Linked DNA regions of Xenopus tropicalis. The protein of the gene in region 1 purifies or fractionates together with the protein of each later gene. This does not show direct contact. Links are inferred from orthologs where the notes say so. Each region holds a gene or a part of one and is shown on either strand. Other genes may lie near its edges. The genes, in order: arhgap12, asap1 and tjp2.

Region 1 (2,665 bases):
TAAGTCTGTGGAGCATTTCAGCAGACTTTGCGCCATAAAAATCCTCCAGAGGGGCATATCTGTCCCAGGGGCTTCTAGTTGAACTATTGTAATAAAACTGGTGGCAACATGTTTATCTACCCTTGCTTGCTGTCCGCTTCCATTTAATTATCAAAATAAAAAGCACTCGTACTGTATTGTATGATCACATACCTGCCTAATGTTGTCTTCTTGGATTACATTCTAGATGAGAAACTGGACTTGAATGACAGCAAATGGGAAGATATTCACGTCATTACAGGGGCCCTGAAGATGTTCTTTAGAGAACTACCTGAGCCGCTCTTCACCTTCAGCCACTTCAATGACTTTGTGAATGCCATTAGTAAGTGTCCACTTAATGTTGCTGGCATATAACCTCTGTTATACACGTCTGAGCTGCAATTTCTAATCTATTTTGTGTTTTTGTGCCACGGAGAGTGGTGCCGTTGAGTGTTTATTGAGGGCAAGACCCAGAAATGAGTACATAATGCATGTATGAATGGTTCTGGCAGTGGCAGTACTTTCCCACTTGAGGGCACTGCCTGTTAAAGTATAAGACCTATGCATACACAATTCATAGAAGGCAACTTCTTTTCCAGAACAAGAGCCCAAGCTGCGTGTGCAAGCAATCAAAGACTTGATTAAACAGTTGCCAAAGCCAAACCATGACACTATGCAGGCACTTTTCAAGCATCTCAAGAAGTAAGTGTCTTGTTCAATTTAGTAAACATATATATTTCTAAATATCAGTCTATATAATGCTGTACTTACACAGCACACAGCCGATGTTATATCTATCTATTTATCTCCGTAATGGTCATTGCCCTTCAGTGGATTTTATATTGATGCATTTGTCTGCTTTAATTTTAAATTACAGTCCATTTGGGCTGCAGTCGTATTGGTCAGGTACCAAGCAGCAGCATTGGACTGAAGGGTCTGGGGCCCACCAAGGCTATCACCTTAGGGGCCCCTCCACCCCAGTCAAGAACCATCCCCCCCTCCTCCCCCCAGTGTGGCCTGCAGTGCTGCACTTCATTTGCTGGCCCCCTGCTGTCAGTGAGCTGTAAAATTGGGAATGGAGGGTAGGAGCTCTTGTGCCTGCATGTTCTTTTTCCTACACAACCTTTCTTACTGCTCCTTTTCTCACTGAAGTCTAAGTCCTGGTAGAGCCGCACAGGGATTGGATGGGTGACGTTTGAATTCCCCCCCCCCCCCCCAGCCTTTCTAATCCCCATGCGGCTTTATTGGGACTTGTTAGAGAAAAGAACATGCAGACACTCACCGTCCTCACTTCTGAAATCTGCAGCTCCCTGACAGGCAGGGGGGCCTAGTTAGCAGCACGGCCAGGTCCCCCTAACACTCAAAAACCCACCAGACCCGGGACTGTGAGAAGTAATTTTCTCTATGCTTTGGCCTCTGTAGGGTTGTTGAAACTGGAGAAAAAAACAGAATGACTTATCAAAGTTTAGCAATAGTTTTTGGACCAACCCTGCTGAAACCGGAATCAGAGACTGGTAATATCGCCATCCACACAGTATACCAGAACCAGATAGTGGAACTCATCCTACTGGAATGCAACTCTATTTTTGGCCGCTGAGTCCAATGGTGAACGACAAGCAGGAAGCAACCACTGATAGGCCATATCCTTGGGAAGGATCCAGCTGTGCCGTTTCATTTCTCATCTCTGAATTTTATTTTGTGGACCAATGAGCTGATGGGAAACTTTTTTTTTTTGTCTCCTGCACTTTTTTTTTTTTAAGATGGTGACTGTGTCTCATTTGTACATATTTTTAACCTGTTGCCAGGTTATTGTATTTGGACGGTTTTTTTTTTTTTACTGTGTGTGCGCACATGATAATTCCCTAGCAGGACTGCAAACCTAATGTAGACACTGGATTTACTGGAAACAAAATAAAGCTACTAATTTCATTCTGTACAAACGGACTTCTACTCACTCTTGGAAGCCGAGCTTGGTTCGCTGTGTGGTAACAGATGATGTTCATTTCATTTTTGTTCATGCCTCTAAACAAACTCCTCGTGCAGTAAAATCCATCTGACATTATACTTTGTTGGTTGAGTTAATGATAACCCTTCTTGGTTGACTTGCTTAGACCAGGACCACATGGGCGGCTAGGTCACCCAGCATCATAACCAGCTCTGTCTGGGAGCTACATTGCATTAGCTACTGGGGCACGAATGGGGCACCCCATAAGGGCTCATAGCTATTGACTGTACCACTCAATATAGCAAAACAGTCAACACTCATCTGAATAATGTCCAGCAAGAATGGGCATTAGCAGTTCAGCCAATAAGAATGGCTTAGACAGTGGCACTTCCAGTGTTGTCCAGAGATTACCTTGGATAACACTTGCCCACAGCCGTAGGGCAACTCAAGAGAAGCTCAGGAACGATTCATAGTGATTGACTATCCAACCAAATATAGAAGTACTTTTGTAACTCATAAGGATAATGTCCAGCAACAGTGTACATTGCCAGTTTAGCCAATGAGTATGGCCCTTCCAGTGTTGTCTAGATAGTGTCTTGAATGACACTTGTCTGCCCACAGCCATAGGGCAACCCAATAGGAAGGAAGGCTTCTAGCAAGTGACCTCATTATCCAGATGAGTGAAGACTATGCTGCTGTATT
Region 2 (3,660 bases), about 120 Mb from region 1:
TAGGTTTTTGCTCGGCAGCTCTCTAGTTTAGAATTTCAGCAGCTATCTGGTTGCTATGGTCCAATTTCACCTAACAACCAGGCAGTGGTTTGAAAGAGAGGCTGGAATATGAATAGAGGAGGGCCTATATAGAAAGAGAAGTAATACAAAGTAACAATGACAAAAAAATTGTAGCCTCACAGAGCAAACGTTTTTTGGACGCCAGGGGTCAGTGACCTCCATTTGAAAGGTGGAAAGAGTCAGAAGAAGGCAAATAATTAAAAAACCATCAAAAATAAAAAATTTGCACCGAATCTAGCATTCAGTTCTTGATTTGGCCAAGATTCTGGCTTTTTCAGATATTCGTCTGAATCCAAAAAATACTGGATTTGGTGCATCCCTATGAAAAATGAAGGGGTCGCAGTATTATGTGACGTTATCAAGCTTCCCTGTGTGACCCTTTCGGTTGTACCCATCTACATAATACTAAGTAAGCTGAGCATAAACAACCCACTTAGTGCATGTGTAATACCACAAAGCTACATACCCGGTGACCCACAATCACAGCAAACTTCATTTCCAGGCGTTTTCTGTACATCGTCTATAATGGCCTTAGTCAGATCCTCCAGGCTGCTCTCGCCAGTGCTCTGGTCTCCCCGGAAAGCCATATTGAGTGCATCTTCTTTGCTATTTGTCAGAACTGATATCCACCTGTTACAGAAGAACACACTGTTATGTTAATATTAGAACAGGGTACAGATGAAACTTTATGAAAAAAACTCTAAGTAACTTTTTTAAATTACATTTTTTGAATTATTAAATCCAGCTATTGAATTATTACTATTATAATATCTTGGATGCTGTCTGGTTGCTATGGTCTGATTTAACCTAGCAACCAGGCAGTTGTTTGACAGAAATATGAATAGAGGGACTACATGTTTTCAGGCTACTGTGTTGTACTGGAAGGTACAGTACTGCTTGGTAACAGCAAGCAAGAATGGTAACGTTCCCATAATAACCCAGTATGGCAGCTCTCATGTACAGACTGCCAAGGCCAAAGGATGCTACTCGGTCCTCATTCTCCTAGACCTTTCCTCTGCTTTTGATACTGTCGACCATTCTATTCTTATGCAAACTCTCTATTCTCTGGGTATCCGGGATCAGGCAGCATCCTGGTTCTCTTCCTATCTCTCTAACCGCTCCTTCTCTGTCGCTCTTACTAACAAATCCTCTACCCCGGTTCCGCTTAGTGTGGGGGTGCCTCAGGGCTCTGTGCTTGGTCCCCTGCTGTTCTCCCTGTACACTCTCTCTCTAGGAGACCTTATTTCTTCTTTAGGTCTTAAATACCACCTATATGCAGATGACATCCAGATATACTTAGACCCCCCTGCACTAACTGCTGATGTCCAAACCCAGATTGGTAACTGCCTCCTGGCTATCTCCTCCTGGATGAACCGACGCCAGCTCAAACTTAACCTAGCTAAAACAGAGCTCATGGTCTTCCCACCCAAACCTGGCCCTCCTCCTCCTTTCACCATTACTATTGATGGCATGACCATCAACCCTGTAAATTCTGCACGCTGCCTTGGGGTTATCTTTGACCAGTCCCTCTCCTTCTCTAACCATATTAATAACACTGCCAAAACCTGCCGCTTTTTCCTCCGCAATATTGCCAAGATACGCCCCTTTCTTTCACAAGCAACAGCTAAAACACTAATACATGCCCTTATCCTTTCCCGCTTAGATAACTGCAATCTCCTACTAACCGGCCTCCCAGACTCCCACCTCTCTCCCCTGCAATCAATCTTAAACTCTGTTGCCAGGATCCTCCTGCTCTCTCCTAAGAGGGATCCTGCTCGGCCTCAATTAAGCTCATTAGCATGGCTGCCTGTCAAGCAAAGGATAGCTTACAAAATCCTTCTGCTGACATTCAAAGCCCTTCACTCCTCTGCTCCTCACTACATTACTTCACTGGTCTCCCTACATGTTCCTGGTCGTCTCCTCCTCTCCGCTCGTCAGAGCCTCCGTCTTTTTACACCATCCACACCCACTGCGCTCTCTCAGCTTAAACCTTTCTATCTCGCTGCTCCTTACCTCTGGAACTCTATCCCTGAATCCCTCCGTAGGGAAAACTCACCCACTCTCTTTAAGAAAAAACTCAGCTGTTACCTTCTGGAGCACTAAAACATTATTTTGCCCAGTCCTGCGCTTAAGGGCAAATGCCCATACCTGATGCACTCTTACCTTCCAGTTTGTGCCTGTATGTTACCCAACCACTCAGATTGTAAGCTCTACGGGGCAGGGACCTCCTTCCTACTGTGTCTCATACCACATGGCACTTATATATATATATATATATGTTTACATATATGTATTTATTGTATTTATTTATTATATCACTTGTCCTCCCTGTGTGTAATTTTGTATTCTGTAAGACTGTACAGCGCTGCGTACCCTTGTGGCGCTTTATAAATAAAGTTATACATACATACATACAATAAGACTGGGTAATTATAGGGGTAATTATATCTTAGTTGGGATCAAGTACAGGTACTGTTTTATTATTACAGAGAAAAGGGAATCATTTAACCATTAAATAAACCCAATAGGGCTGTTCTGCCCCCAATAAGGGGTAATTATATCTTAGTTGGGATAAAGTACAGGTACTGTTTTATTATTATCCGTAATTCGGAACTTTCTGGATAATGGGTTTCCAGATAAGGGATCTGATACCTGTATAACATGAGAGGAAAGTGGTGGCACTAATCTGTGGGGATGGTACAATGACCCCTCGGTTGAGCCTACGAGCAATAAACAGGCACATTCAGCTTTGGGGTGGCTGAGATTTAGGTATTGACCATGAAATGACTATACCCCGAGGAATGCAAAACACGTTCCTGCATTAAATAAATGCCTATTGCTGCATTCCTTTCATGATAACACAATGAAAATAAATGGTATTTTATGACTCACTGAAACTCCCTTTATACTGTGTAAACTAAATAAATTGTACTTTATGACTCAATGAAACTCCCTTTATACTGTGTAAACTCCAATTCTCAAGGAGACATTACAGCACCTCTGTGACTATGAACTGAAACTCCCTGCACCCCTATCTGCCTGGGATGCACATGTAAGTCTTTCACTTACGCAATGTATTCTTGTTCGTCCTCTGCTTGGAAGTGGTATGTTCTGTTGTCTGCAAAGGAAAACAAGATAAAAAAAAATAATATATAAGTACCAATTGGTAAAGCAGAGACATTTATTATGAAATTTGTAAGAATGAAATATAAGCAAACTAAAAAACAAACAAACTGTGAGATAAATTAGATGAAGATATAATTAGGTATTTTAAAATAACCAAAGATACGTTCCTTTGCCTCATTAAAGGGAACCTGTCACAAAGTCAAAATTAAACATAAAACCCAAATCCTTTTTTTAATTAAATCATCCATACCTGTTATAAATGTATTTAAAAATCTGAGCTGTCAGTCATATATTGCAATATACGATTGACAGCTCAGATTTTTAATTACAATTTAAACCGACTCGGCAGCTTATCTGCCACTGTATGGGACCCTCTAACAGGCCTCATCGACCAATATCTGCCAAAAGATTGGCCAGATGTCTATTGGACAGATGAGATTTTCATGCGGATCAGGGACCGCATTGGCTCATTGA
Region 3 (3,660 bases), on another chromosome or scaffold:
TTATTTTGGAATGTCACGTCCATGCATAAAAGTAACTACATCCACCATAACCACTTTCAATTGCATCAGTTTGTTTGGGAATATTGGCTTATATTTCCCCAGCATTATATGAATGAGCAGACTGAGAAAAGCTCACAGAAGGCAGTCTAACTCTGTTTACACATTTTCTGAATGTTGAGTATTTTCAGTTTAGCATAAGGAATAACTCCAATGTCTGTATAATGAAAACATTTCCACATATCTCCAACGTGTCAACAAAAATTGAGATGTATACTACCATGTTACATGTGATTTCCTGATATATACGCAGTCTATAAGACTTTACAGTATCAGCCCACACATAAGTAGTCTGTTCCATTAATCACCTCTGCAGTGAAGTCCAAAGTGTAGTCTGCAGTATTTTCACAACTCTGTATCTCTGTATTTTGAAGGCTGGGAATAATATCCACGCTTTGATTGGTCAGCCAGCTGACGCCGATATTCTTCTTCCTCCTCATCGCTCCCATAACTCGCTCTGTTATCTTGGTAGGTTCTGGAAGGTGGTTTTTGAGGCTCTGGTGGGCGAGAACTATATATGGAATAAAAAAATTGAAAATAATTTAATAAGGTTTTTTTCTTGATACCACATCACATGCAATATGGACTAGTGTAGTTTGACCTACAACAACTAATTTCCTGTGGTGTTACTCAGGTACTCATACATTTAGCAGCAGCACTAACAAAATATCAAATATGCTTTAAACTACAAGAAAACATTAAAGACTACTTGGAACTCCTTTATCACATCATTACTATATAGTGTTTTTATATTTTCTATCTAAGCAACACTTATTATCTATTACAGATATCCATATTATACATCTTTCTATCATATCCAACCATCTGCTATACAAATAAAGGTTAAAGTGGTAACTTGACATGCCTCAACTTCCTGAATACCTCAGCTGGACTGCCATTAAGTACCATACAACCTAGAAAATGTTTCTGCTATCTATTATAATTAGTCATTCTTTAGATTCCTGCATTCTTGCTCTTATTAAAGGCGATGCCCACCAAAGTGATATTAGTAAATGTAATTACAATTAAACTCCCCCCAGGTACAAAAGCCCCCCTAACTGCCCTGCATCGACCCTCCTCTCCTCTGCAGTCTCTCATTGCCTATAACTTTGAAAAAAGACCCTATAGAGAAACCCAAGCTTAAAAAGGCAGAACAGCACAGCAGCATACCTGGGCGCCATCTTCAGTTTATTAGAAAATGTTTTGGGTCTTACTGCCGACATGAACCCTACAGAAGCATGCACAGTGGGGGCTAACCGGGAATCGGCCCTAACCTTGCATGCTCAAGCGTGTCGGTAGTGTGACCAGAAACATTTTCTAATGAATGGAAGATGGCGCCTAGGTACACTGCTGCACTGCTCTGCTGGTTTAGCTTGGTTTTTTTTTTTATAGGGCCACTTTTTAAACTTATAGGCTATGCAAAAAGGGTGAGGTGAGGAGGGTCGATGCAGGGCTGTTAAGAGGGATGTTGTACCTGGAGGGGGGGGGGGGTGGCGGCATAGTTCTTCTTTAAGATTAGCCTACCCAATCAACACCTAGATGATTTTCAGCCAGATATCGATCAGGGAGGCCCATCAGGGGGTCCCGTACATGGCAGATAAGCTGCCAAATTGGTCTAAAGGACATAAATCGGCAGCTTAAACCTGGCTGTGCACGACTACCTTAAGCTCTGTGACTAACCAACGCTCTGGTCAGGAGACACTTTTCCCAAGAAATGCTACTGTTACCAGAGGTAAAGACCACCATATTGGGTTTACCTTGACCTGGTATGGTGGCTTGTCAATTTTATGATCATAACTTTGTAACTAAAAACCCATTTTTCTAAAATTCCATAGATACAAATTATTTATAAAACAGGGCCAGGGAATGTGCATTGATTAAACCCCACTCTTTTGTATGTTTGTAATCTGGCAAACATACATGGCCAGATCATTTGCACTTCCATTGTACTTGTATATTTCACTATTTTACAATCCCTTCCTTTTAATATACTAACGTTTCATCAATATGCCAACAAAAAAATTTTTTTTGGGTGGACATTTTAATGATACTTCATCCCACGGCTTTCATGATTAGATTCCTCTCTGCTCTGCCACCACCCTTTGACTTAAATCCAATGCCCAACTGCCCAAAAAAAAAAAAAAAAAAAATACTGCACAAAGAGTTATGTTTGTTTGAGGGGGTGCTGGTAAAGCCAAGAGGCAGAGGTGATTTTAGAAAGTCTGATTTAAATCTGTTCTGCCTGGTTACTAGAACACCTACATTTGATGGCCTCCACACAGGCATTAATGCATCTAAGAATTAAACAAATCAATAACTAGAAACTATGGAACATGGTAGAAAAACGCTAAATCACTTCTGGTGACATGACCGAACTAGTACTGTAATACAATTGTGCTACGGTATAATGATGCAGTAAATTGAATAGAGCCACCATACTAATTTAATTTTAAAATTATATATTTTACAGTTGGGGAATTTTGGATCTTTATTCCATAATGCTCAATACATTTTTGTTAAATTAAAGAGATAATGTGCCACATTACCTACAACATAAAGTACTGCTATTCATGCACTTTAAACAAGCAGCATTATATGTGCAATTGATACATACTGCTGATAAAATGAATTAATTTGTACCTTGTCGGCTGTGGTCGATTCTGTTCATTTTTCTGTGGCTTTACTGGCACAGCATAAATATCAGGAAGTTTCTGGGCGAGCTCCAACTAAATAATAATAATAAAAGGCAATATAGTCAGTTGTATTTTTTGGTCATGGTGCAATCAAGTTATTTTAGTTGTTTTGTTCTTATCTAAACCTGGATCATTCCATAACTATTGGTCTGATTAAGTGCTGCTAAAACACATTACCTTTTTCTCTCTTTCATGTCTCTCTTCCACAGTTGTAAATTACATGGCAGCTATAAACACTATATTTGAAATACTTTAGTGTATAATACCATCAACAAAAACACGTCTCACGTACACCAGTACTTTGACGCCTTGACATGTTATGGTCGTCCCCCATAAGACCTAATTTGTAAATTACAGGAATTAACTTTAAAATATAATAGTTTTGAGAATTAGTATTTTATGCAAAAACAGAGGAGACCATCAGAGCAGCTGTTTGTGCAACGGTTATGGCAGTCTACGGGAATAAATATATTTTACCAAAGTATAATTCCAACATTTTCATTTATTATTGGTACACAGACAACATTTACAATTTGGCAAGGCAGTCACCATTTTCTAACTGAAATGGTTAGAGATATCAATGGACTGGACACTCCTGTACATTTATCGGAGGGTTGCGACAAAGTATAAATTTTGGATGCCGCAGAGATTTGGAAGAGGACAGACAGATCTAAATTATTCTGTAAAGCAAGAGACAGCAACACCATTCTACATTACAACAGCTTTCACCCACCATAAACAGTGTACCCTATTTTTTTAAACAAATTGCAATTTTTGAATAGTGGTGCATGTGAAAGTCAATTGAGAGACCTTAGAGCACACATTAAATAAAGCAAGAAATATTGCCCAAATACACAGAACAAAAGTCAAATTGAAACATTTTGTAATCACCTTGTATAATCACAACGTA

The links.
Region 2: the proteins of arhgap12 (region 1) and asap1 purify together in Homo sapiens (co-immunoprecipitation; 3 studies listed by BioGRID and IntAct, with this or other methods). This does not show direct contact. The link is inferred for Xenopus tropicalis from reciprocal best matches to the Homo sapiens genes ARHGAP12 and ASAP1.
Region 3: the proteins of arhgap12 (region 1) and tjp2 purify together in Homo sapiens (co-immunoprecipitation; 3 studies listed by BioGRID and IntAct, with this or other methods). This does not show direct contact. The link is inferred for Xenopus tropicalis from reciprocal best matches to the Homo sapiens genes ARHGAP12 and TJP2.

The regions. Positions count from the first base shown.
Region 1 is NC_030682.2:23,100,549-23,103,213, forward strand, and holds the end of arhgap12 (rho GTPase-activating protein 12), read left to right. Parts: intron 1-226; coding exon 227-361; intron 362-617; coding exon 618-720; intron 721-1,440; coding exon 1,441-1,615; 3' UTR 1,616-2,080; downstream 2,081-2,665. UniProt on the Homo sapiens protein: GTPase activator for the Rho-type GTPases by converting them to an inactive GDP-bound state.
Region 2 is NC_030682.2:142,094,763-142,098,422, forward strand, and holds part of asap1 (arf-GAP with SH3 domain, ANK repeat and PH domain-containing protein 1), read right to left. Parts: intron 3,179-3,660; coding exon 3,130-3,178; intron 691-3,129; coding exon 527-690; intron 1-526. UniProt on the Homo sapiens protein: Possesses phosphatidylinositol 4,5-bisphosphate-dependent GTPase-activating protein activity for ARF1 (ADP ribosylation factor 1) and ARF5 and a lesser activity towards ARF6.
Region 3 is NC_030677.2:129,452,730-129,456,389, reverse strand, and holds part of tjp2 (tight junction protein ZO-2), read right to left. Parts: intron 2,784-3,660; coding exon 2,698-2,783; intron 569-2,697; coding exon 403-568; 3' UTR 1-402. UniProt on the Homo sapiens protein: Plays a role in tight junctions and adherens junctions. Acts as a positive regulator of RANKL-induced osteoclast differentiation, potentially via mediating downstream transcriptional activity.